Linked DNA regions of Notamacropus eugenii. Each later gene encodes a partner of the first gene's protein in a complex. Links are inferred from orthologs where the notes say so. Each region holds a gene or a part of one and is shown in the gene's direction. Other genes may lie near its edges.

The links.
Region 2: the proteins of INTS11 (region 1) and BRAT1 are in contact, whole or in part, in a cryo-EM structure (PDB 8UIB), measured with the Homo sapiens proteins. The link is inferred for Notamacropus eugenii from reciprocal best matches to the Homo sapiens genes INTS11 and BRAT1. Residues at the interface, in NP_060341.2 of Homo sapiens: Leu9, Val15, Gly16, Lys27, Met35, His36, Met37, Gly38, Phe39, Arg43, Asp47, Tyr50, Thr58, Asp59, Asp62, His70, Leu71, Asp72, His73, Asp87, Gly88, Gln97, Pro101, Ile102, Glu105, Arg108, Lys109, Val112, Asp113, Lys114; in NP_689956.2 of Homo sapiens: Asp25, Thr27, Cys28, Glu30, Lys31, Asp34, Pro117, Ser156, Ser157, Leu158, Phe159, Ser162, Lys358, Ser359, Cys366, Arg367, Arg424, Arg427, Thr465, Lys468, Lys469, Trp514, Glu515, Asp518, Ser519, Glu522, Tyr560, Ser564, Ser604, Glu605.
Region 3: the proteins of INTS11 (region 1) and WDR73 are in contact, whole or in part, in a cryo-EM structure (PDB 8R22), measured with the Homo sapiens proteins. The link is inferred for Notamacropus eugenii from reciprocal best matches to the Homo sapiens genes INTS11 and WDR73. Residues at the interface, in NP_060341.2 of Homo sapiens: Tyr206, Thr208, Thr209, Ile210, Arg211, Asp212, Ser213, Arg215, Cys216, Arg217, Glu218, Arg219, Asp220, Leu222, Lys223, Lys224, His226, Phe255, Arg258, Met259, Leu364, Val384, Glu385, Tyr386, Ser388, Lys418, Lys419, Glu421, Phe422, Gln425; in NP_116245.2 of Homo sapiens: Asp5, Asp6, Leu8, Val9, Ser11, Leu12, Tyr15, Gln16, Phe18, Tyr19, Ala20, Phe21, Asp22, Leu23, Glu50, Leu52, Arg59, Leu68, Phe69, Pro70, Glu71, Arg72, Asp73, Phe74, Lys75, Val76, Gly79, Phe81, Asp116, Ser117.

The regions. Positions count from the first base shown.
Region 1 is NC_092876.1:34,733,229-34,740,275, reverse strand, and holds the start of INTS11 (integrator complex subunit 11), read left to right. Parts: upstream 1-2,775; 5' UTR 2,776-2,860; exon of another isoform or gene 2,861-3,009; intron 3,010-4,258; 5' UTR 4,259-4,319; coding exon 4,320-4,347; intron 4,348-7,047. Other genes in the region: CPTP (ceramide-1-phosphate transfer protein), read right to left, coding at 249-370.
Region 2 is NC_092874.1:385,585,569-385,592,615, reverse strand, and holds the start of BRAT1 (BRCA1-associated ATM activator 1), read left to right. Parts: upstream 1-2,663; 5' UTR 2,664-2,966; intron 2,967-3,657; exon of another isoform or gene 3,658-3,812; intron 3,813-4,130; 5' UTR 4,131-4,147; coding exon 4,148-4,274; intron 4,275-4,675; coding exon 4,676-4,830; intron 4,831-7,047. UniProt on the Homo sapiens protein: Component of a multiprotein complex required for the assembly of the RNA endonuclease module of the integrator complex.
Region 3 is NC_092872.1:178,256,652-178,263,698, forward strand, and holds the start of WDR73 (WD repeat-containing protein 73), read left to right. Parts: upstream 1-3,131; 5' UTR 3,132-3,240; coding exon 3,241-3,281; intron 3,282-3,734; coding exon 3,735-3,802; intron 3,803-4,083; coding exon 4,084-4,169; intron 4,170-6,193; coding exon 6,194-6,282; intron 6,283-7,047. Other genes in the region: NMB (neuromedin-B), read left to right, coding at 1,704-1,739. UniProt on the Homo sapiens protein: Component of a multiprotein complex required for the assembly of the RNA endonuclease module of the integrator complex. Associates with INTS9 and INTS11 in the cytoplasm, stabilizing the INTS9-INTS11 heterodimer and blocking the active site of INTS11.

The DNA.
Region 1 (7,047 bases):
CAGGACTAAGCACTTGACAATGATCATTTCATCTGTTCCACCCAACAACTTTGGGAGGTAGGTGCTATTACTATACCCATTCTGCAGATGAGGAAACAGAGGCACACAGATTAAGTGAGTTGTCCATGATCACACAGCCAGAGTAAGTGCCTGAGGCTGCATTTGAACTCATGTCTTCCTGACTCCAGGCCTGATGTATCATGTAGGAACCCTCCTGGGGATCCACAGAGTGGCCCCTGCACACTCACCTGACAAGCCCTTTCCAACTGGTAATATAAGGGTCCATGAGGACCTCCTCATTCTCATTGAGGCATTGCTTAAAACCAACCAGCACGACCTTCAGGTTAAATTCGGCCTGTTCGTCAGCCATAGTCCACCACAACCTGAAACACACAGAAGGTCCCCAGAGAATCAGGTGGTGCGTGTCTGCTTTGGAGGACCAGCTGGGATGACAGACCTGATGTAATGGGGTGTCTTTCTTAACACTTGCTCCTACTCACCCAAGTTGCTGCAGGATAGAAATGCCCTATTCTAGCAGAGTTGGGCTCCCAAGAAACCTTGGCAAACACAGCCTACTCACTGAGTCTACACATCTGCCAGTAGTCAGTGACTGGACAGGTTTGAGATGGGAGAGGCTAACTTGGAAGGTGGGTTCTACCCTGGAATCTCCCAGGCCCTGGATTCTTTATCTGTCCCATATTTCCATCCTGGACCCCAAGCCGATTTCCCAGGCAAAGCAGGAGACAGAATAGAATTATTCAGATGAGTGAAGGCAGGAAGGAGAGGAGGGAGGCTACCATCCATGCTATGGCTGTAAGCCTTCCACAGATCTAAGATCTGCTTACAACATTCCAGGTTGTTGGCTGTGGGTGGCTCTCATGTCCCCAGACTAGGGGCTCTTTAAAGGAAGATGGCATCTTATATTTTTGTATGCCCCTGTGCACCCAGTGTGGTCCTGAACCCAGAGCTGGCACTTAGTATGACCCTCAATGGCTGCCCGAATGATTAAAATCAACAATGGGATCAGATTTAGGAATGGGGATTGAAGAGTTGAGGACCCCAGGATTTGAAGACGACTGAGGGTGGCCAATGGAAGATCATGATTCTAGGAGTTAGGATACCTCATTTGTTCTTAGTTGTTGATTGCTTCCTCCCTCTGGATCTCAGTTTCCTTATTTGTAAAGTGAAAGAGTGGCATGAGATGTTCCGTTAAGGTAACTTCCAACTCTGACATTCTATTAACTAAAGTCTCTTCCAGCTCAGATGGTCTATCGGTCAACGACATATCAATTTGTTGTTTAAATAGCCCTGTGCTTTCTCATGACACAGAATGAAACCAGCAGCAAGCAGGAAATTGCTGTTAGGACTTTTTAATCATTTTGGGCCCCACAGTCTGCTATATAATACTGAGAAAAGAGGAAACTAAACTGTTTTGAGCAGGCTGAACAGCTGAGGTTACAAACTGAGGATGGATGGGCCTGCTCAACTTCTCAAAGTAAGGCCAGTACTCCCATCAGACATCACTCTGACTCTGCTATGTTTATACTCTGCCATAAACTATTTATCAGAGCTTCAAGGTCAGAGATGAAGATTGGAGCAGGAAGAAGGAAGGGGGCGGGGAGGGATTGAGTAAGAGCAGCCAAAGAAACAAAGAGTCTCAACACTCTCCAAGGAGTTCTACTTTTGGCAGAACCGAAGGCTCTTAGACGGCAGCGGTCCGGGGTTCAGCATGCTGGCCCCGGCTCCCATTCCACTCATCTAGCGTGTCTATTGAACACTTACCACAGGCAAAAATAAATTTCAGAGTCTGACTCAGCACAGAGCAACCTGGAGAAAGTCCCCCTGTCCCCCCCACGGAAGGAATCCAACCCAACCACAGCGATACAGCAGTGCCATACATACCTGGGTCAGATGGGGAAGGTCAAAGGGGAGGGGATCTCAGGGTCTTACTCCTGGTTCTTCTGTCACTGCCTTTGGGTCCTGGACTCACATCCTTGAAAAGAAAACACAAGAATAGCAGAAAATCAGGCCCACGGACCCCTTCCTCCTGTGTATAAAATACCCACATTACAGAAGGAACCATACAGGCATATCAGCATACACAGAATACATCTACACATATATAGTACATACATATATACTGTATATACGGTACATACATAGGTTATATACAATATATATTCAGCATAAGTACAATTTAAATGCAGTTCTCAAGATTAAAGTCTATGCCCTTCGATTTCAAAGTCAGGAAAGGAGGAGTCCCACCCGCTCTATTTGACAGATGGGGAAACTGAGGCCCGGAGGTCCCGCAGAGAGTGAGGCGGGGGGGGGGGGGGCGGTCAGGGCAGGACCCGAGCCCCGGGTGCCCCCGGACCGTGACCCGGACACCGGGGTCCCCTCCCCCGCAGCGCCGGGGGACCCCAGGGCGTACTCATGACCCTTGACCCCACCGCCCCCATCCCACGCCCCAGCACCCCCGACGTCCGTTTACAGCTCCCCGATCCCCGGCCCCCCCGGGCCCACCCCTTCGCCCTCACCTGCACCTTACTCACCGGCGTTACCATTGAATGCAGATTCTTGGGGGCCTGTCTTCAGTCCCCTCCAATCACAGCCAAGACCCGCCCCCCAGTCCTGGCCCCTGCTTGATTGACTGGGACAGAATCCAATGGAAGGCCGGCAGGGAGGGCCGGCCCAGGAGGGCAGGTCCCGGGCGCAGGAAGGCCGCTCATAGGCTGCCGGGGTTGCGCCTGCGGGGTGCCTTCCGGCCCTCGCCGCTGGCCCCGCCCCCCGCGCAGGCGCAGTGCCTCGGGACTGGCTGGGAGTACGGAAGCCTGCGCGGCTTGCCTCGTGGAGGGCTGAGGTGGGGAGAGGGAAGCAGCGGGGGCCCTGCCGACCTTCGAGGGAGTCTGGGAGTCTCCCTCTTCAACCTGCCCGCTTCTCCCAGCGGCCTGCTGCTCAGGACCGGCCCCCCTCGGGTGGGCGGCCGTGAGCGCGTCCGCCGGGATGCGGGCGAGTGACGTCACCGCGGGCGAGCAGCTGCCCCGCAGGGCTGGGTTTGGGGGTGGGGCGCCTCCTGGACGGGGAGCCCGCGCTCGGCCTTGGGGTCTCCCGACAGAGCCGGCCTGGGCTCACGGTGTGGGGATGCAGGGGAGCCCAGGGGGAGGCCCTTCGGGGGCTAGAAGGGACCTTAGACGGGCTCGCCTCTCCTCGTCTTCTTGCCCCACTTTACAAGAGGGGAAACTGAGTCCCCGAGAGATTGTGGAACTTGCTCCAGGTCAGGGGTCAGGGGTCAGGGTCAGCGCAGGGATTAGAGACCCATCTCCTGGCTCAGAGAACGACTTGCCTGGAGTCACACAAGTGCTAAGTAGCAGAGCCAAGATTCACACCTGGGCCCCTTGCCTCCAATCTTGTGCTTTGTATAATACCACCTTACTTTATGTAGGATTGGGAAGTAGCTTTTGCAGCTGATACTCCTAAGCCACAGCCTGGCAGGAGCAACTGGGCTAAGGGATGGCTATTCAATTTTTTTACAAATTGATTTTGGAAGCAGAAAAACACTTGTAGCTCCAACAGTTTACAAAATGCTTCCCTTACAACAGCCATGTAAAGAGGCAGTGTAATGTATAGGTAAGAACACTGGATTTGGAATTAGGTTCTAAGAGTTGGAAGGGTCTCTAGAAGTCATCTGGTCCAGCCTATGCCAGACTCAGAAGGCTTGTGCTCTGTTACTGCTTATCTGTGTGACTGTGGGTGAGTTATTTAACTCCCACGGCCCTTAATTTCCCCTTCTCTAAAATGAAGGGGTGTGGGCTAGATAATTTCTAAGGTTCCTTCCCTCTATAAATTCTCCAAGGTAGCTGTGCAGTACAATTTTGATGATCCCATTTTACAGGTGAAGAAGGGTCATGTGATTTAGAATCTAGAACTCAGGCCTCCTGACCCAAGTCCAGATTAAGACAGTGAGAGTGTCATTATCACCTTAGTTTCCTAGCATGCTCTCCCCCCCCAGAGACCTCTGTCTAGTATACTGTTGTGTCACAGTAGGGTAAGACTTAGACCACCACTGCTTTGGCGTAGAGCCAGTAACCAGAGCTGAGGAAACCTTGCCCAGTTTTAGGGATGGTGGTGTCCCTTTTTCACCACCTATTCATAATCACTGTAAAAAGTTACAGCCTTCTGGGTTGGCCCATTTCCTTTTAGAAATTATGACTTCCAGACCAACGGTACCTGTGTGATCTCAAAAACCCGTGCTTTGTAGGTACTGCTCTATGGTGTCTTGGATCTAGCCTGATGAAGTACTGAGAACTTGGCCACTCAAGATGCCAGAGATTAAAGTCACTCCCTTGGGTAAGTTAAAAGAAGCAAGTTTGATTTAAAAAAAAAAAAGTTTTTCTGGTGAAAATACCATCAGGTCAACAAAATGTTATGGTGATGAACTTAAAAGCTGTAATATTCTCTGTAAGAGAATACATCAATCACAGCTTAGCTCTTTATTTTGTGCTCTGTTCCCATCAGTATGATTCATATCAGTATGAACCGAGCACTTTGCCATGCCCACTGATGGGGGGTGGGATGGAGGAGCCATGTGTGGTACAGTTACACAGAGTCCCATGGATGCTTTTCTTGAGTGGGCAGTGTTATAGGCAGCAGGTTCTCTTTCTGAATATTTTCCTTTGGTTCATGGTAAAAAGGAATTCTCCATCCCTCAGGAGAGACACAGTTGGTATTGTGAGAAATTAGCCTAAACGTATGTAGGAGAGTGAAAGAGAATTTATTTTGGGGGTCAAACATTTTAGGACAGATTATTTGAAAGAGAGAGGGATGGTTGGGAGCCGGAAGAATCAGAGAAGTCTTCCTAGAGGAGGTAGTAAGGTGTGAGTTGGGAATTGAAGGGTGGGCTGGATTTGTTGAGAAGGTGGGGAGGCTATATCAGGTCAGGAGAATGGGGGACTATGTTCTAGAGCAGGGGGATGGGCTGGAGAATAGGGGGAAGGGAGGTAGCAAGTTCTGTTCTGGTTTCTCTGGAGCAGAGGGCTTGTGGGGGGCAATGGATGTGTCACTCATCATGAAGTAGGAGCTCATTCCCTGTTCTTTCAGGAGGAGGCAAGAGCATAGTCCAGATCCTCAGTAACAGCATCACAGTCTGTCTTTGGGAGAGGCGACCCCATGCAGAGTAACAGGAGTTGATATGGTTTGGGTCCCATAGCCTACCACCAGGGGGTGCTCACAACCAAGTTTCCAGAGTGGCCTGGAATGTGCAATTTAAAGGTTCAGGGGTGTTTTTGGTGTAGAGTGGAGACCTACCGTGGGACTTCTCTGAGACACAATCCTGTAAACAGAAACGTTGCTAGGCTGATTCTCTGGGTTGTTGAGCATCTTAAAAGTTGATACTTATAGGTCTTTGGCCTCTTAGGTCCCTCCAGATGTTACTAATATGGAGTCTTCAGCCTTTGAATAGGAAGATGCTGTGCTCTGGACTTTTTCTCAGTTTCCATTCATCAGTAGTCATGCAGTCTTCTTCCTTTCCCGAAGATTTGTGAATCTGAGATCTGGCTTAGGTGCTGGGGGAGATATGGAGTCCAGATGAGACCCTGGTAGAACTCACAGTCTGGCAGGAAAACGTCCAGGAGCCCCTGGCCTTGTGGGGTCCCCTTTGGCATCTGGTGGTGTTAGTGACAGTGGCGGAAAAGGGGGCAGACAAAGTCACAGTGTTAGACTATCTGTAGTCATTCACTTAGCTGGTGGTGGTTTTAAACACCTTGTCCTGTGACCATTGAGGGAGAGGACATTGTTCTGGAAGAAAGGAACCTTGCCAGTCTTCACCTGCTCACTCTCAGTGAGACCAGAAGACAAGTGAGAGTTGGAACTGGGCCTGGGGTGACAGCTGGCAAAAGAAGGAGCTGCCAAAGGCAACCAGAAGCATCAAAGGGCAGTTAATCCTTTGCTCCATCAGTGCTTTTGATATGCATTCCCCCTGTGGAGGATCTGGCAGTGAACAGGATGGGAAAGAGAGTACATTCTCAGGAGAACTTAGAAAGCCCCTCCAAAGGGAATCAGCAGTCAAGGGCTTTAAAGCAGAGGTGTGCAGAGCAGGGCACAATGAAAAATATTTTGGAGAACGTGTTTTAAGATGGAAAATGAGAGGCCACAGACTGGTAGTTCACACAGAAGCCTTACACTACGATGCCTTTTTCCTCTTCAGAAAGTATTATTGATACCTTTTGAGGTTATTTCCATATACCTTAGGCAGATAGTGGTGCAGTGGCTAGACGACTGTGCCTGGAGTCAGGAAGACCTGAATTCATATCTGACCTCAGATACTTAGTAGCTGGGTGACCCTGAACAAGTCACTTAACCTCTGTGTGCCTCAGTTTCCTCAACTGTAAAATGGGGTTGATAACAGCACCTACCTGCCAGGGTTATTGTGAGGGTCAAATGAGATATTTGTAAAGCACTTAGCACAGGGCCTGGCACACAGTAGGCACTACAGAAATGCTCATTCCCTCCTCTTCTTCCCCTGTTCCCAAAGAAGCTTCTTCTGTGACAAGGAAAACCAGTTACCACCACCCTGGGACCCTATCTGATAATATTTGATAAAATTCCACACCCATTTCCTCCTACTCGTCTGACCTCTAGTCTCACATCCCCAACTTGCCTTTTGGACATCTTGAACCAAATACCCCATAGACATCTCAAGCTCTGTCTGTCCAAAATATGTTTTATTTCCTTCCCCCCCATCTCTCCCCTCGTTTGAACTTGCTGTTACTGTTGGAGCCATTGCTGTTTTCCCAGTCCCCTCACCTCACAAGTGGGGTGTCCTCACTCTCACTACTATCCGATCTATGGCCAGGCTTTGTCTCTTCTGTCTAAACACCATTTCTTGTACACATCCCTTTCTCTTTGGCCACCACCTTTTTGGGCCCTCCTCACCTTTTGCCTGGACTACTACAGTAACCTTCTTTTTGGCCTCCCTGCCTCTGATCATTCCGTACTCCACTCTTCATTCAGAACTCTGGCAATTCCCTGTTAAAGCCCTTCCCAACCTGC
Region 2 (7,047 bases), on another chromosome or scaffold:
AAGGTCACCAACACACAAGGAGTGTGGAGTACCCAGGAGGACGATATTGTCAACAGTGTCAGAGAGTTGAGAGGTCACTAAACCCAATCAGTTGAATTAGCCTAGTTAACCTCAAAGCCCTTTCCTTCTAGTAAAAATAGTCTGAGCGTGAAGGTGGAGCAATAGCACCACCCAGTGGCCATTTTCCTATGATGTTATAATAATTTAGTTTCAGATTTTTCTCTTGAGTTTATTGAGCATTTGCAATTAAATTCAACAATTCAACAAACATTTAGGTTATGTGACTTCTAAAAGCAAGGCATTTTGATAGGTGTTGGGGATGAAGGCACGAAAATAACATAGTCTCTGCCTTCAAAAAGTTTTCGTTCTATTTAGGATATGCCAGAGGACTATAGATTTAGGGTTGGAAAGAAATCATCTAGTTTAACCCCTCATTTTACATGAGGAAAGTGAGGACCCAGAAAAGTTAATCAATTTCCCAAAGGTCACCCAGATTACAAATGATTCAGGATCTGGACTCTGGTTCTTGGGCTTCAAATTCCACAGTGTCTTTACTAGCTAGCACCATATCTGCTTTTTATAAATTGCAGAAAACATGTTGATGTGCATTGGTAAAAGGATTTCCTCACCTGGTAAAATCCCTGCACAATCAAAAAATGGGTCTGATCCCTATTCCTTTCGAGATTTACATAACATTTTAAAAAATACTTTTCTATCCATACCCCAGAGTTGAACGATAATATTACTGTGATGACTTAGTAGCTTTGTAGATCATTATGTCACATTAAAATACAAAGATCCACAAACAAGCAGACAGTTATAAAAATTAGGTGTGATCTTCCTAGAGGACAAGATGGAGAGATAATGTTATGGAATCAGTGAACATAAGCTTTAACAGATTTTTGGGAGATAGAGGAGGATAGAAGGGTCTGTTCATGGAGTCAAGAAGAGTGAGACACAACTGAACAAGTCTCCTCAAATCATATTTCAGAGTGATCTATTTAGTACAAGTCATTACATTTCCATTAAGTTATGAAGGCACAGCCAGTGCAAGCAGACTTAAACCCATTCAACTACTGGGCTGAAAAAAATACTTTGGTTGATTCTCCAGAAGGATTTCTTTTTTTCAAATAAATATTGATCTCAATGAACAGTTCTGAAAATTTCCACAGCTGCAGTCTAATATGTGATAAAAAAAAAAGACTTCATAAGAACTAAACCGTGAAGCAATGAATAAAAGCACTGTCTTCATAAATCAGATGAGGGAGGAAGAGAAACAGGTATTATGATTATTTTACAGGTGAGAAAACTGAGGTTAAGTGGATTACTCATGATCACCTAAGTGTTGCAGTCGAGATTCCGATAAATCTACTGCCTTCAAGACTAAGACATCTGTGCTCAGCCCTGTTTAATATTTTTTTATCAATGAATTTAAAGACATAGAAGACATGAGATGCTCATCAAATCTGCAGCTGATCTCAAACAAGAAGGGATACCTAATACACTGGATTACAGAGCCACAACCCCAAAGGATTTTGCCAGACTAGAACTAGGATGAATCCAATAAAAATGAAACTCATTAAGGATGAATGTAAAGTCTTACACTTGTGTACAAAAAAAAAGCCAGATTTATAAGTATAAGATGGAAAGGACATGGTTAGATAGCAGTTCTGAAAAAGATGTGGCGGCTCCAGTGGATTCCTAGCTCAATATAAGTTATCAAGGTGCTAATCTGAAACTACATGAAGAGGCACATAGCTTCTAGGAATAGGGAGGGGACAGTTGCATTTGTGTCCTCTCTTTCCTAATCAGACATTATTTGCAGTATTGCATTCAGTACTGAATACTATGGTTTAAGAAGGACGTTCAGTTGGACAGAGAACTTGCATTCTGATCCCTCTCTGTCACATACTTGTTGTGTGACCTAGGGCAAGTCGTTTCAATTTTGGGTGGGCCTCAGCTGTCTCATCTATAAAATGGAGGAGTTGAATTAGATGGTGCATGAGCTCCAAATTCCTTCCAACTCTAAATCTATGATCTTAGGAGGATCAGTTGAAGGCCTGGGGATGTTTACCCTGGAGAAGAAGAAGAGGGCGGGACATATTAGCTACTGCTTAGGTTTATGAAGGGCTGCCTAATGTGGAAGGCAGAAGTGATGCTCTTTGTGAGAGAGATCAGACTTGCTGTGTCTGGCCCCAAAGGTCAGAATGGAGGGAAGTTTCAGAGGCTTGATGTCAGAAGAAATTTCCCAACAATTGGCTCTTTCTACAAGTGGAATAGGCCCTCCCTCCCCCTCCCCCCAACTTATAGGACCCCTATCCTTGGAGGTCTTTCAGCAGAAGTGATACTGGGCACAGCGTTCCTGTATGGGGTAGACCAGAAGACCCCAACTCGCAAACTCCCGCAAATCTGTGCCAGTAGGCCCAACACCCTTTCCACTACACCACAAAAAACAACTGCCTGGCTCATTTTTATTTCTGATAGGGCGTTAGATTCTCTCCTCTCTAAGGTCCCTTACAGCTTTAAATGGTATGACCGCTGAACTTTGCCCGGTTCTTCCCCTTCACAATTGAAGGATTCCGTTTTTCACATGCTTTCCTAGACAGACAAAGCCCCGCCCCTTTACGTGACCCCGCCCACTTCCTAAGACGTCGTCCCGCCTACTGCGCGCAGCCTCGGCATCGGCACCAACTATTAAGTGCGCAAACAGGGGAATCTGGTGAAACGCCTCTCTTTTTGTGTGCCATTTTGCAGAACTCTGAACAGGATCAGTTCTACCAGAAAGATGGAAGAGATTTTTTCACGAGCTATTCCTTTAAAATCTGGATGCGTTTGCTCAAGGACGAAGTTTCTTTCTGCCCCTATCTCCCCCCCGCCGCTCTCTGAGGTGGTCTGAGCCGGAGGACCGAGCGCGAGGGAAGGGGCGGGGCGAGGCGGCGCCGACGGAGCGGAGCGTAGCCGAGCTGGTGAGGGTCTCGGGGAGGGGGGGCTCAGCTCTCGGAAGGCCGGGTGGCGCTTCCCGCTCCCCATTCTATCTTCTCACCTTCTCGGGAGCGGTGGGGTGGGGGGAGCCCGTCTAGGAGCAGCTCTGTGGGGCCTCATCCCTGTGCGGGATGGGGGGGGGGGGTCTCTCCCAACCCCCCACTAGGCGAGGCAGCGATCGGGAGGAGCCCTGCTCGAGGGCGGCTCGATCTCGGGGTGGCCTCCAACCTGGCCCGCCCCCCTGCTATGCCCCCCCGAGCTTGAGACCGTCGCCCCCTCCCCTCCCCCTATTCGGAGACCTCTTTAAGACCTGGGTGGGTCTCGTGCTCGAGGCCAAACGGGCCATCGGAACCCCAGCCGCAGTGTGCCCCTGGCCCTTTCGCACGCTTGACCCTGATACGTGCCCCCTACACATCCCCCTGAAACGGGGCGCCCAGATAGACCCCCACGAAACCTGCTGCTTAACGAGGGGGGGAGATAGTCTAGGGGCCTCCCTGTAACCTTCACTTAACTGCCCAGAGCCTCAGTTTCCCTGTCTTTAAAATGAAGGGATAGACCACGAGCGTGTGAGTTTTCTTCCCACCCCTGCCGGGGATCCGGGACCCCCTGAAACACACAGCTTGAAATCAGCTTCTTGTTTCCTCCCCACACTTCCGCCTCCTTCCTCCAAAAAAAGGAAAATAAACACGGGACCAGAGGAAGGACTACAGCCCTTACAGAGCCAGCCAAGGAGGTCTCCGTGCCCTCCCCCAGCTCGGCCCGGGATCTCTTCTGGATCTCACTTTTGTGCGATCCTGAGGAACGACCTGTTTAGGATTTCGAACCAGCAGGTATTTATTTAAGAGTCTCCCGTGGGCCATGCACTGTGCCAGGCCCTCAGGACGCAAAGACCACGGCTGGCCAGCCCTGCTCTACTAGCGAAGGGGGCAAGGTTCACACCCCCAGGGCTCTGGCCAGGGACTGGTTAATGCCTCTGGCTCCTTCCCCAATCTGGATTACTTGAAGAAATCAGAGATGAGGTCATTCCAGCCAAGTATACCAAACCCTGTCACTGGATGGGAACCACCAGCACCTGGGTTCCTGCTGTGACTGCACTCGGCCTTGAATATTGGGTCTAAGTGGTGTTTTTTTTCACATTTCATTACCAGGACCCACTGGATTCACTATGGACATTGAATGTTCGCGGCTCCTACCTTCTGTCTGTGCAGTTTTGGTAGACCCAAAGCAGTTTGTAGCTGATGATACCTGTTTGGAAAAACTACTAGACTGGTTTAAGACAGTAACTGAAGCAGGTAATTGTGGTAGTGTTTGCTCCCTGTTTACCCATAGGCTGGTGGATGTTTTTAGAGAATTATGACATGGTACATGATGACTCAACAGTGCTCCACATGTCTAAATAAATGGATGTGCTGCCCACCATACTTTACAACAGGTTCTAAGAGAAAGAAGACAAGTTGGATTATGGGGGAGTTATTAGGGTGGTTTGTATTTTAAATTCTAATTTTAATTAAGGTTTGAGAGAATCTTCAGATTATGGTAGATGAGTGTTATGAATATGGATAGGCTCTTTAGAAGGGCAAGGATGAAAACTTCTTGAGGGAAATGGGTACCTTGATACCAGAAAGGGATACAGAATGGTTTCCCGACAGGTGACGGAAGAATCATCCTTTTTTGATGCTTGTGTATTCCACAGAATCTAGTCTGCTGGTATTACAGGAGAATCCTTGCCTGACAGAACTGCTCTTTCATGTGCTGAAGCTACAGGATGTGAATTCCAATATCCTTTCCTTTGCTCTACGTCTTGCAGGAATATTTGCAGCCCACGAAAACAGCTTTCAGTATCTCCAGGTGAGTTTAGGGGTGACTTCTTGGATGCTGTAGCTTGTAAAATTAGACTTGGCTGATAGGTTGTTGTAGTTATATGAGGTTTTACTAACATGCATACATATACATACACGTGTACCTTATACTTGTATATTATATGTACACACTTGACTGAATCCATTCTCTCATTTGGATGGGTACATCTTCCATTGATACAGATTTCAATCCTTCTATGTCTTTTCACTCTATGTAATTCTTGTGCATATCTTTTTGTTTCTCTGTAAATTCTCCAGCAGAGATCCGCTAAAACCACTGGTGGCCCGCCTCTAGTTTTTATATTTCTTAAATTGACTAAAGCAGTGTTCTGGCCTTTCACTTAAGATATGTGCCTTCATATATTTTCTGATCTGCTACTTGACTAAAGAAGCAGGATGTAGTTTTATAGCTTACAACTGTACTCAGACTTTTGGGACACCCTGAAGATGCATATACACACAAGACACATGCATATGTGCACTCTTGTACATATGCATGCATACATATACAATTCAAAGAAGTCTTTATTTGTAACTATTTTTATGTATCTTTTATATTAGAGTGAGATTTTGTGTGAAACTTAGTGCCATAGCTGGGTTCAGTATAAATTGTCTTAGAGGTATGGTTTAAAACTTGCATTCTTCAAAAGTTAATTGATTCTGTTTTGTATAAAACTTGTTGTGTGGTTAGAGGGTCAGCTTTGAAGCCAGGAAGACTTGAGGAACTTATCTGCATCAAGTCCTGTCTTTGACTCATACTTAATACATGACTCTGGGAAAGTTAAAACTCAGATGAGGTGCCAGCCTGCATTAGTAGAGGGAGTTTTCTCTTTGGGAATTCAGTATTCCAATGAAATTATAACTTGGTCCCTATTCCTATGTCCAGAGAATGGCAAGGTCATTAGAGATTGGTTTATAGGTAACTGCACTGGCATTCACAAAATATTTTAAGAATAAGAGAAAGCCTTCCAGTGCTTTATATAGATACTTTATAAATAATTTACAAAAAGACATTACTAAAATTTGGTTCCTAGACCTACCTAGAGGTAGATCAGGAAAATGCTATGAAGATTTTTATTGAAGCTCCTTCCTAGTAAAAAATAGAGAGATGGAAGCTCGATGGTGGTACAGACCAGTGGGTGGATTTGGACTTGGATACATGTCTGTACCCAAAAAGGAGTCATCATTGGTTCCATATCAACATGGAGGGAGTTCTCCAGTGGAGTGTACTGGAAACCTATGTGCTATTTAACGTTCTTGCCAGTGAATTAGATAAAAGCATAGGTGACATGTGTATCATGCAAGTTAATAACTAGCAAGCCTGGAATTAAAACAGAAAAACAAAAAATAAACCTAAAGCCTTTTCCCCTAAAGCACACTTCCGCCATGGCCTAGCAGTCCTGCTGTGTCCATTCACAGAATCACGGCCTTGGGAGGGATTCAGAGCCTATTTAATCTAAGCTATAACTGAACAAGAGCTCCCTCTACATCAAAAACAACAAAGTTTAAGATGACACAAAGCTGGGAGAGATGGCTAATAGTAGATGACCGAGTCAGGATTTAAAAATATTTTAACAGGCCAGAATAGTGGGTCATATCAGATGGGATGAAATATAGAAATACATGGTAAAGTCTTACCCTGGGATTCAGAAAGTCATCTTCATCAGCATAAGGTTGAGAAGTGGTGGTTAGATAGCAGTTCATTTGAAAAGAGTTTTGGCATTTTTAGTGGATTGCAAGATCTGTATAAATCAGTAATGGTATATGGCAGCCAAGGAATTTAATAAGTCTTAGACTGTATTAAGAGACAAAGTATCCTGGACTAGGGAGATAGTGAACTCTGGGTTAGACCACATCTATAATATTGTCTTAAATTGTGGGGGCCACATGGTAGGAAGGACACCCAAAAGTTAGAGATTGATGAGAGTGAACCATTCAGGAGAGTGAAGGGCTTTGAGATATGCCACATGAGAGTCAGTTAAAAAGACTAATGATGTTTAATTTGGAGATGAGAAGGCTTGAGGGGCCTATATGATAGCTCTGTCCAAGTATTTGAAGGACTGGCATATATAAGAGGGATTAGACTTTGTGGCCCTAGATGGTAGAACTAGAAGCAAAGGATGAATACTTCAGAGAGACATAAAAATTTAAACTTGATGATAAAGTAAAACTTCTTCAGTTACCCAAAAGTGAAATGGCCTGCTTT
Region 3 (7,047 bases), on another chromosome or scaffold:
TTATGTTCCTTGGCACACATTCAATTTCTTTTCAAATCTACAATTAATTATTAAGGACCTACTATGTGTAAAGTACTGTGCTAGGCATTGTGAGGAATATAAAGGTGAATTAGACACTGCCTCCACCTTCCCTAGGTCATCAGATCATAGGCTGCTATAACTAGAAAGAGCTATAGGGATCATCTGTTCCAACTCCTTGATTTGCAGATGAGGAAACTGAGACTCAGAATGTTTAGGTGACTTGCTTGAGATCACACAATGAGTTAGTGGCAGAGGCAAGATTGGAACCTTTGATTGTATATGAAATTCTCAGCCCTTAACTTCCCATTGACCCTATTACAACAGCCATATCTATACTGGGCCTGTGCTTCTTGAGGTTTTGTGCTTTGGAGAGTAGGTGAGGAGAATAACATTATCCTTTGGCCAGGCAAATCACTGCTATGTTGTTTCTCTCTAATCCAATCCAACAATAATTTATCAAGTACCTATTATGTACAAGATACTGTGTTTGGATGCTGGGGAAACAAAGATTATACAGTTCCTGCCCTCAAGGTATTTACATTCTGTTGGAGAGCAGTAAGTTAATTTTCTACCTTTTGTAGCCATACTACATCTCCATAGCAGTTGCTTCCCAGGATGATGACTGAGGGCACTGGGCTGGAAGCAGGTCTGGTGGTTTATGGGGCAATTCCCAAGCTCCTTGGGTTTAGGGTCCTGGGTTGTCTCCATCTGTGTGACCGTAAGGGAACCCCTAAGGCCTAAGGGGAGATAGACAGTGATTAAGGTGAGGAGTATGTGGTTTGATTTGCCTGGCATATACTGCCTCCTCTCTTGCCCTCAAAGTGACTTGCTGTTTCAGCTTAGCTGGCCCATCTGTCCTGTCTATGAACATTGAAACATCTGAATCCAGTGTTCTTTCCATCAGCTCACATTGCCTTTCATTTAATTGCTTCTCCCTCAATTTTCTCCCCATTGGTGCTCTCTCTCTCTCTCTCTCTCTCTTTCTCTCTCTCTCTCTCTCTCTCTTTCCAAAATGCCTTCATGGGGAGTGGGGGAGCAGAGGCTCAGGTTTATTTTGGATGTGCAGGGTAACATTATTGTACTGCATGCCATGCTCTATGGCATGAATGGTCCACAGACTATCTACAGCCTAGGTCCATCCTTCTATAGAAGATTGGATAGAGATTAGCTGTCTGTTCTTCTTAATCATTCCTTTTGCTCACTTCACAAGAGCAGGGAGAGAAACATAGCACTCAACTCCTCTCCAGTCTGTAGAAATGAGAATTCTGGATAAAACTAAGAAGTCTTCAAGAAGAAAGTTCCCAGCAAAGTGGTCCCATCTCTTTCCTGTATCTCCTTCCAAGGCTCCAAGGCTCTAGCTCAGGAGTGTGGAACCGTCAGCCTCAAGGCCACATGTGGCTCTCTAGGTTCTCAAGGGAGGCCTGTTGACCCCACATTTTGCAGAACAAATTCTTTTATCAAGGGGATTTATTCTGTGAAGTTTGGATTCAGTCAAAGGGCCTCACTTGAGGACCTAGAGGGCCACATGTGATTCCCCACCCCTGCCTAGCCTCTTTACTTTGAGGGACACAATTCTCTCCTACAGAGTTATTTATCTAGCCCCATCACCTCCTGATGACTGACAGGTGGGACTGGTAGAGTGCTCCAAGGCACAATTCTTGATATCATTTTCCTCTTCTTAGGACCTATGGATGCTGGTTCAGCAGCTGGAGAAGTAGTTAAGTCATCAGAGGCTATTGCTTGGACTGCACAGACCATGCAGCTGTCTGGAGTTCAGAGAATGGCCATCTGGGGCTACTGCCACAGTCTGATGAAGAGTAATTTCTGTCCTTTGTTGTTGCCACATTGTTACTATAATCTTTGACTGAGGTCACTCACTATTATCACTGTTCTTTAAGACACAAATGATGTCTCTTCCGTATATTTTTTTCCTGCATCCTTCCTGAGATTGTGAATAAAACCTTATTCTTTGCACAAAATGTGTGGGCCTCTCCTTCTAGCCATTCCTGTGAGAATCTCACCAACGGGGTGAGGAAGAGAGGGTGTGAGATAAGAAAAGGTCGGCTCCGAATGAGGCCATGGCTTTTTAAAGACAAACTGACTTCCTACTTCTTCATCCTCACAACTATGGCTTGTTGGGAAACTGTCTTTGACCCTCCCCAGCTAGGACATTCTCTGTGGAAGAATGCTGCTCTCTTGTGCCCTATGGGCTCCATGGCAACCAGAGTGGTCATGATGAGGAATGAAGGGAGGTGTCAGTCAGTCAGCTCTGTACCAAGCACCTTGCTATGCTCCAATACACTCCATCCTACCCTTGTAGGACCTTAGTGGCCAGTACACTCTTCCCTCAGCCATCAGGCTTGGTCTGCATAGACAGATAGGTCCTCAGAAAAGTAAAGATTGTGGTATAGGAGAAGGAACATCCCTAGGGCAGGAGAGGAAGAGTTTTGGTCCTCTGGTCTCCTGGCACCTAGTGTCAGCATAAAATTGGAAAATGAAAGGGCAAACCTCTCCAGTGTCTTTGCCAAGAGAACTCCATGGACAGTGGCTCCACAGGGTCATAAAGAGTTGGACGTGACTGGACAGCAAAGAAGGAATGCCCCAGTGGGAGTCGATGGGCTAGACTTTTCATCCTAACTTTGCCTCAAATTGTGTGAAGGTGAGCAAGTCATTTCCCCTCACTGACTGTGTGCGCGCGCGCACACACACACACAGAGACACATATATTCCTCCTCCCTGAGCCTCAGTTTCCCCACCTGCAAAATAAGAGGGTTGGACCAGGTGAACTCTGAAGTCCCTCTAACATTCCAAGATTTTATGAGTCTTAGAACAGAGGCAAAGCGATCCAACCCTAAATGTGGAACCAAGAGCGCCAAAGGCTCTGCCACCTTCCAAATCTGTGACCTCAGTGGAGATGGCGTTGCACCACTAGGTGACCTCTAAATGCTCTAAATGCTCAGACTTGGCGGTCCAATGAGGGCCGGGCTCGCCCCCTCTCCTCCCCCTCCGGGGGAGGGCCCCCTGGAGGCCACACCCATTGGCCTCCCGGACCTCGCCTCCTCTTCCCACGTGGGCGTCGCTCCCGTTCACCACGCCCTGGGGCGCGGGGCCCGGGGCCGAGGGAGGCCCCGCCCACGCCCTGACGTCTCCCCTGCGCCAGCGGCGTGCCCGTGTGCGTGCCCGTGTGCGTGCCGGGAGCTGGCGGAGGCTGCTGGCGGCATGGAGGAGGCTGCAGACTGGCTCGTGGACTCTCTGCGCTTGTAAGCCGGGCCGGGCAGCGGGCGGAGCGGGGCGGGAGGGTAGGCCCGCGGCGTCCGGGGGCCGGCCGAGAGGCCCCAGGGGAGTCCGGCGGGAGCGGGCGGACTCCGGCCGCCTTCCCTCCGCGTGCGCCGACAGGCCCGGCAGCCCCGGCCTCGCGTCCGTGATCCGACCCCTCCCCCAGTCACCGCTCCCAGTCTCCACCTCCCCATCTGCCCGGTGGCCCTGAAATGGAACGTGGGCGCTGGTGACGGGAGGTTAGCGACGGCGCGAGGGCGCAAAGCGCACAGTGACCCCGGAAACCCCGTGGTTCGTGCTTATTCATACGGGAGGTTCGTAAGCGCCCCCCAAGCGGCCCAGAGGGCCTTGTTGGGCCCGGAGCTGAGAGAGGGCAGGCGGCGCGTGAGCGCGCCCAGCTCGCCCGACGGCCTCGTGCTCTGTTTGTTTCCACGTAGGTACCGAGATCTCCATGCGTTTGAGCTGCCGGGCCCCACCCGAGTCCTGGAGTGGACTGATAACCAAGGTGATCCTACCCCCAGGGACCCTCCCAAAGAACCCGGTGGGTGCTGTTGCCAGCTGGGACAGAGGCTCTGCAGACCCGGTTCCCAGGTCGTTGGCACGTCCCAGAAGCAGTTTCATGCCACGCTTTTATGACAGTGGTGTTTTCTGGCTGCTGTGTTTCTTGCTGGGTAACGTTAGGATGCAGTGGCTGCCCCTGCTCAGAAGTTTTAGGGTGTGGAGGTTGTTTCTGTGTTTAACTTTGGTCTAAAAGATATGTTTGCTGACATTCTTTGTTCCTTCTAGGAGTCTATGTTGCGGGCTGTGAAAGTCAGAAAAGAAATGAAGTGCTGCATCTTCTTTTACCCCCCAAACTCTGTGCTGAAAACCAGGTATGTTGGAAGTCAAACTGCTCCTTCATCTCCAAATGATTGTAGAAGTAGAAGGCAGCCTTTAGGGCCTGAATGAATGAAAAAGTCTTTATTAAGTGATTTATTGTGTGTCCTGGGCACTCTGCTAAATGCTAATATAAAAAGCTTGATGAGTCTCTGCTGTTAAGTAGCTTACATTCTAATTGGGGAAGACAACACTTAATATAGGGGAGAGATATTTTGGTCTGGGAAATTGAAAGGATGATGAATGGAGCTATAGGGAATTAATTGAAAGTCTTTACAAGAGCTTGAAGTAGAAGGTGGGAAGGTGGGAAAGAAGGGTCATAAAGCATGAAGATATTGGAGAGTCAGGGTTGGGTCCAGCCTAGAGATAAGGTTCTCTCTCTACTTAGGAGCCAAAGGCTCTAGGGTGAAAATTGGAGCAAGGAGGCAGGAAATGAATATGGATGTGAGTAGGGATGGTCATTAAGTGTATCTGAAGTCCTGGGGCATATCTATTCCCAGATTCCATCTATCCTGTCCTAGATGTCCATTCATCATCCCAGTCTAGGCCTAATAATGAAATCCTTCCTAACTGGACCTGCAGACCCAGATTTTCTTCCTCATTGCATTCTCACATATCTCTTGTTCCCATCTTGGAAGAACCCACCTTGTGGGGAGAATGGGGTATAACTGTGTTTTTATCCAGTTAACCAGTTGCTTTCCCTCTAACTTTGGGAAATACAGAGTTAGGGACTCAAGGATAGTACTGATGAGTGTATATTTTACCTTTTCAGTAATAGGGAAGGCAACTCTAATTCTAGACAACTGGAACAAGCAGCAGCAACACTCTGAAATGATTAGTCTCATCCATACATTCTGTGATCCAATGACAGTGACCATACTGCTATTTCTTATATGTGACTCTCCATCCCCTGGTTCTGTGCCTTTTTACTACCTGTCCCCTATGCCTGGAATGTTCCCCCTCTCTATTTCCAATTTTGGGGTTCCTTCATGATTCAGCTTAAACCCCATCTTCTTTTGCAAGATTTTCTTTCTTATTACTCCTTTGTCCCTTCTCCTTCCCACTCAGTGTTAATGTATTCCCTCTGAAATTACATCTCTCTTCTCCCATCTCTCTCTGTCTGTCTCCACTATCTGTTTCCCTATCTCTTTCTCTATAGACAGACAGATAGATAGATCTTGTATGTACATACTTGTTTGCACGTTGGGTCCCACATTAGAATGTGAGTTCTTTGAGGTCAGAGACTGTACTTTTCAGTTTCTATTGATTGATTCCCAAGTAACAGATCACATTATGGATCGTCCCCAAATCTTCCAGCCTAGGTTGGGTTGTGAGCTTTTATGTTGATATGGATAAGGTAGAGCTGGTTATAGCTTGCCTATAAGTACCATTTTTCTGTGATAACAGCAAGTAGCTCACTAATTCTTCATGGCTATCAAGAGAGGGATTTGGAATATAACGTTCATACTGTAGCAGAAAGGGCTAGGGAAAAGATTTAGTTGGATGTGAAACAAAGAACTCTCTTGATGTGTTCTTTTTCGAGGACAATGGAGGCAAGCAGTACAAATTACTGTGTACTTGAGACCTTGGAGAAAGTTTTTGTACTAATTAGCTATTTACTCTCACCTGGGCAACTCTCTTAGCTCTCTTTGACTTCTGAAATCCTGAGCTGGGTTCTATTTCTCAATGTGTGATGAGGTCACAAAATCAGGCCTTGCCCCCCTGGGTTCCCTGACCCTTAACTCCTCTAGCTGTCTTTATCTATTATACTGACCACCTTCTAGCCATAACCCTCCCCACTTCTAACTTTTTATTGAGTGTCTTAATCTGATACATAAGGGTTTGCAGAAACTTCTGGTATGACATCTTGGGGAAAAGGCAGGTAGTAAAGTAGCAGTAATCTTTCTCCAGATATGCACCTTCTCCTTATTTGTGTGAACTTATTGATGTCATGGAACTCATCTGTAAGGAGCATCCAAAAGTTAGGGAGTAGTTAATTGACTTTTTATTTGTGTTTTAGGGCTTATGTCCCGAAAGAGATTTCAGGATGAAACATGGGGGATTTTCAGACAAGCCTGTCTACAACCTGAAGCATATTCCAGAGACCAGGTATAAATCAGCTCTGTGCCCCTGATAATTCTTTTAAAAGTGGTTTATTGGTTCATTTTGGTTTTTTATATCAGTCATTTCTAGATATGACCCTATCCTTGAAACAAACAAAACAAAACAAAAAGCCAGTTAAGCAAAACCACCTGGCACTTTTGACAACATATACAACATTCAGAGCTTATAATTCCCCACCTCTGTACCCAAAGAAGGGAAGGGACAGGGGGTAACAGCATGATTCTTGTCAGAGTAGAGCTTGAAGAAATGATGGGATGTCTGTGTACCTCCCCTCTCTCTTTTGTTACTCCTTTCCCTATGCACCCCCAGAACAGTAGAAAACCAGGACCATTGATAAAAACTAGAGCCTTAGTCAAAACAACAACAAAGGTTGCCCTCACACACATAGACACACACACAGACACACACATCCTTTTTTTCATTGATTTAATAGAATTTGGATGTGCCTTAGAGAATGAACGCAGGACAGAAGGGAATGAAAGACTACAAAAGATGGACCTAAGGAGCAGAAAAGAGAGCCATGGTAGGCTATTGGAGACAAGGATTAAGAAAACATTTATAGCAAGGTTTATCTGACCAGCTTATTTTGTAGATTAAGAGATTTTCTTGATCATGTTCAAATTCCACTTTGGTGATTTTATTGTGCATATGGGTTTTTACTTTTTTAGAGAAGCTAATATGATGGAAAGAGCAGTGGCCTGGAGATTATGCTTCTGGTCCCAACACTGGCCCTGACTGACTGTGGGACCC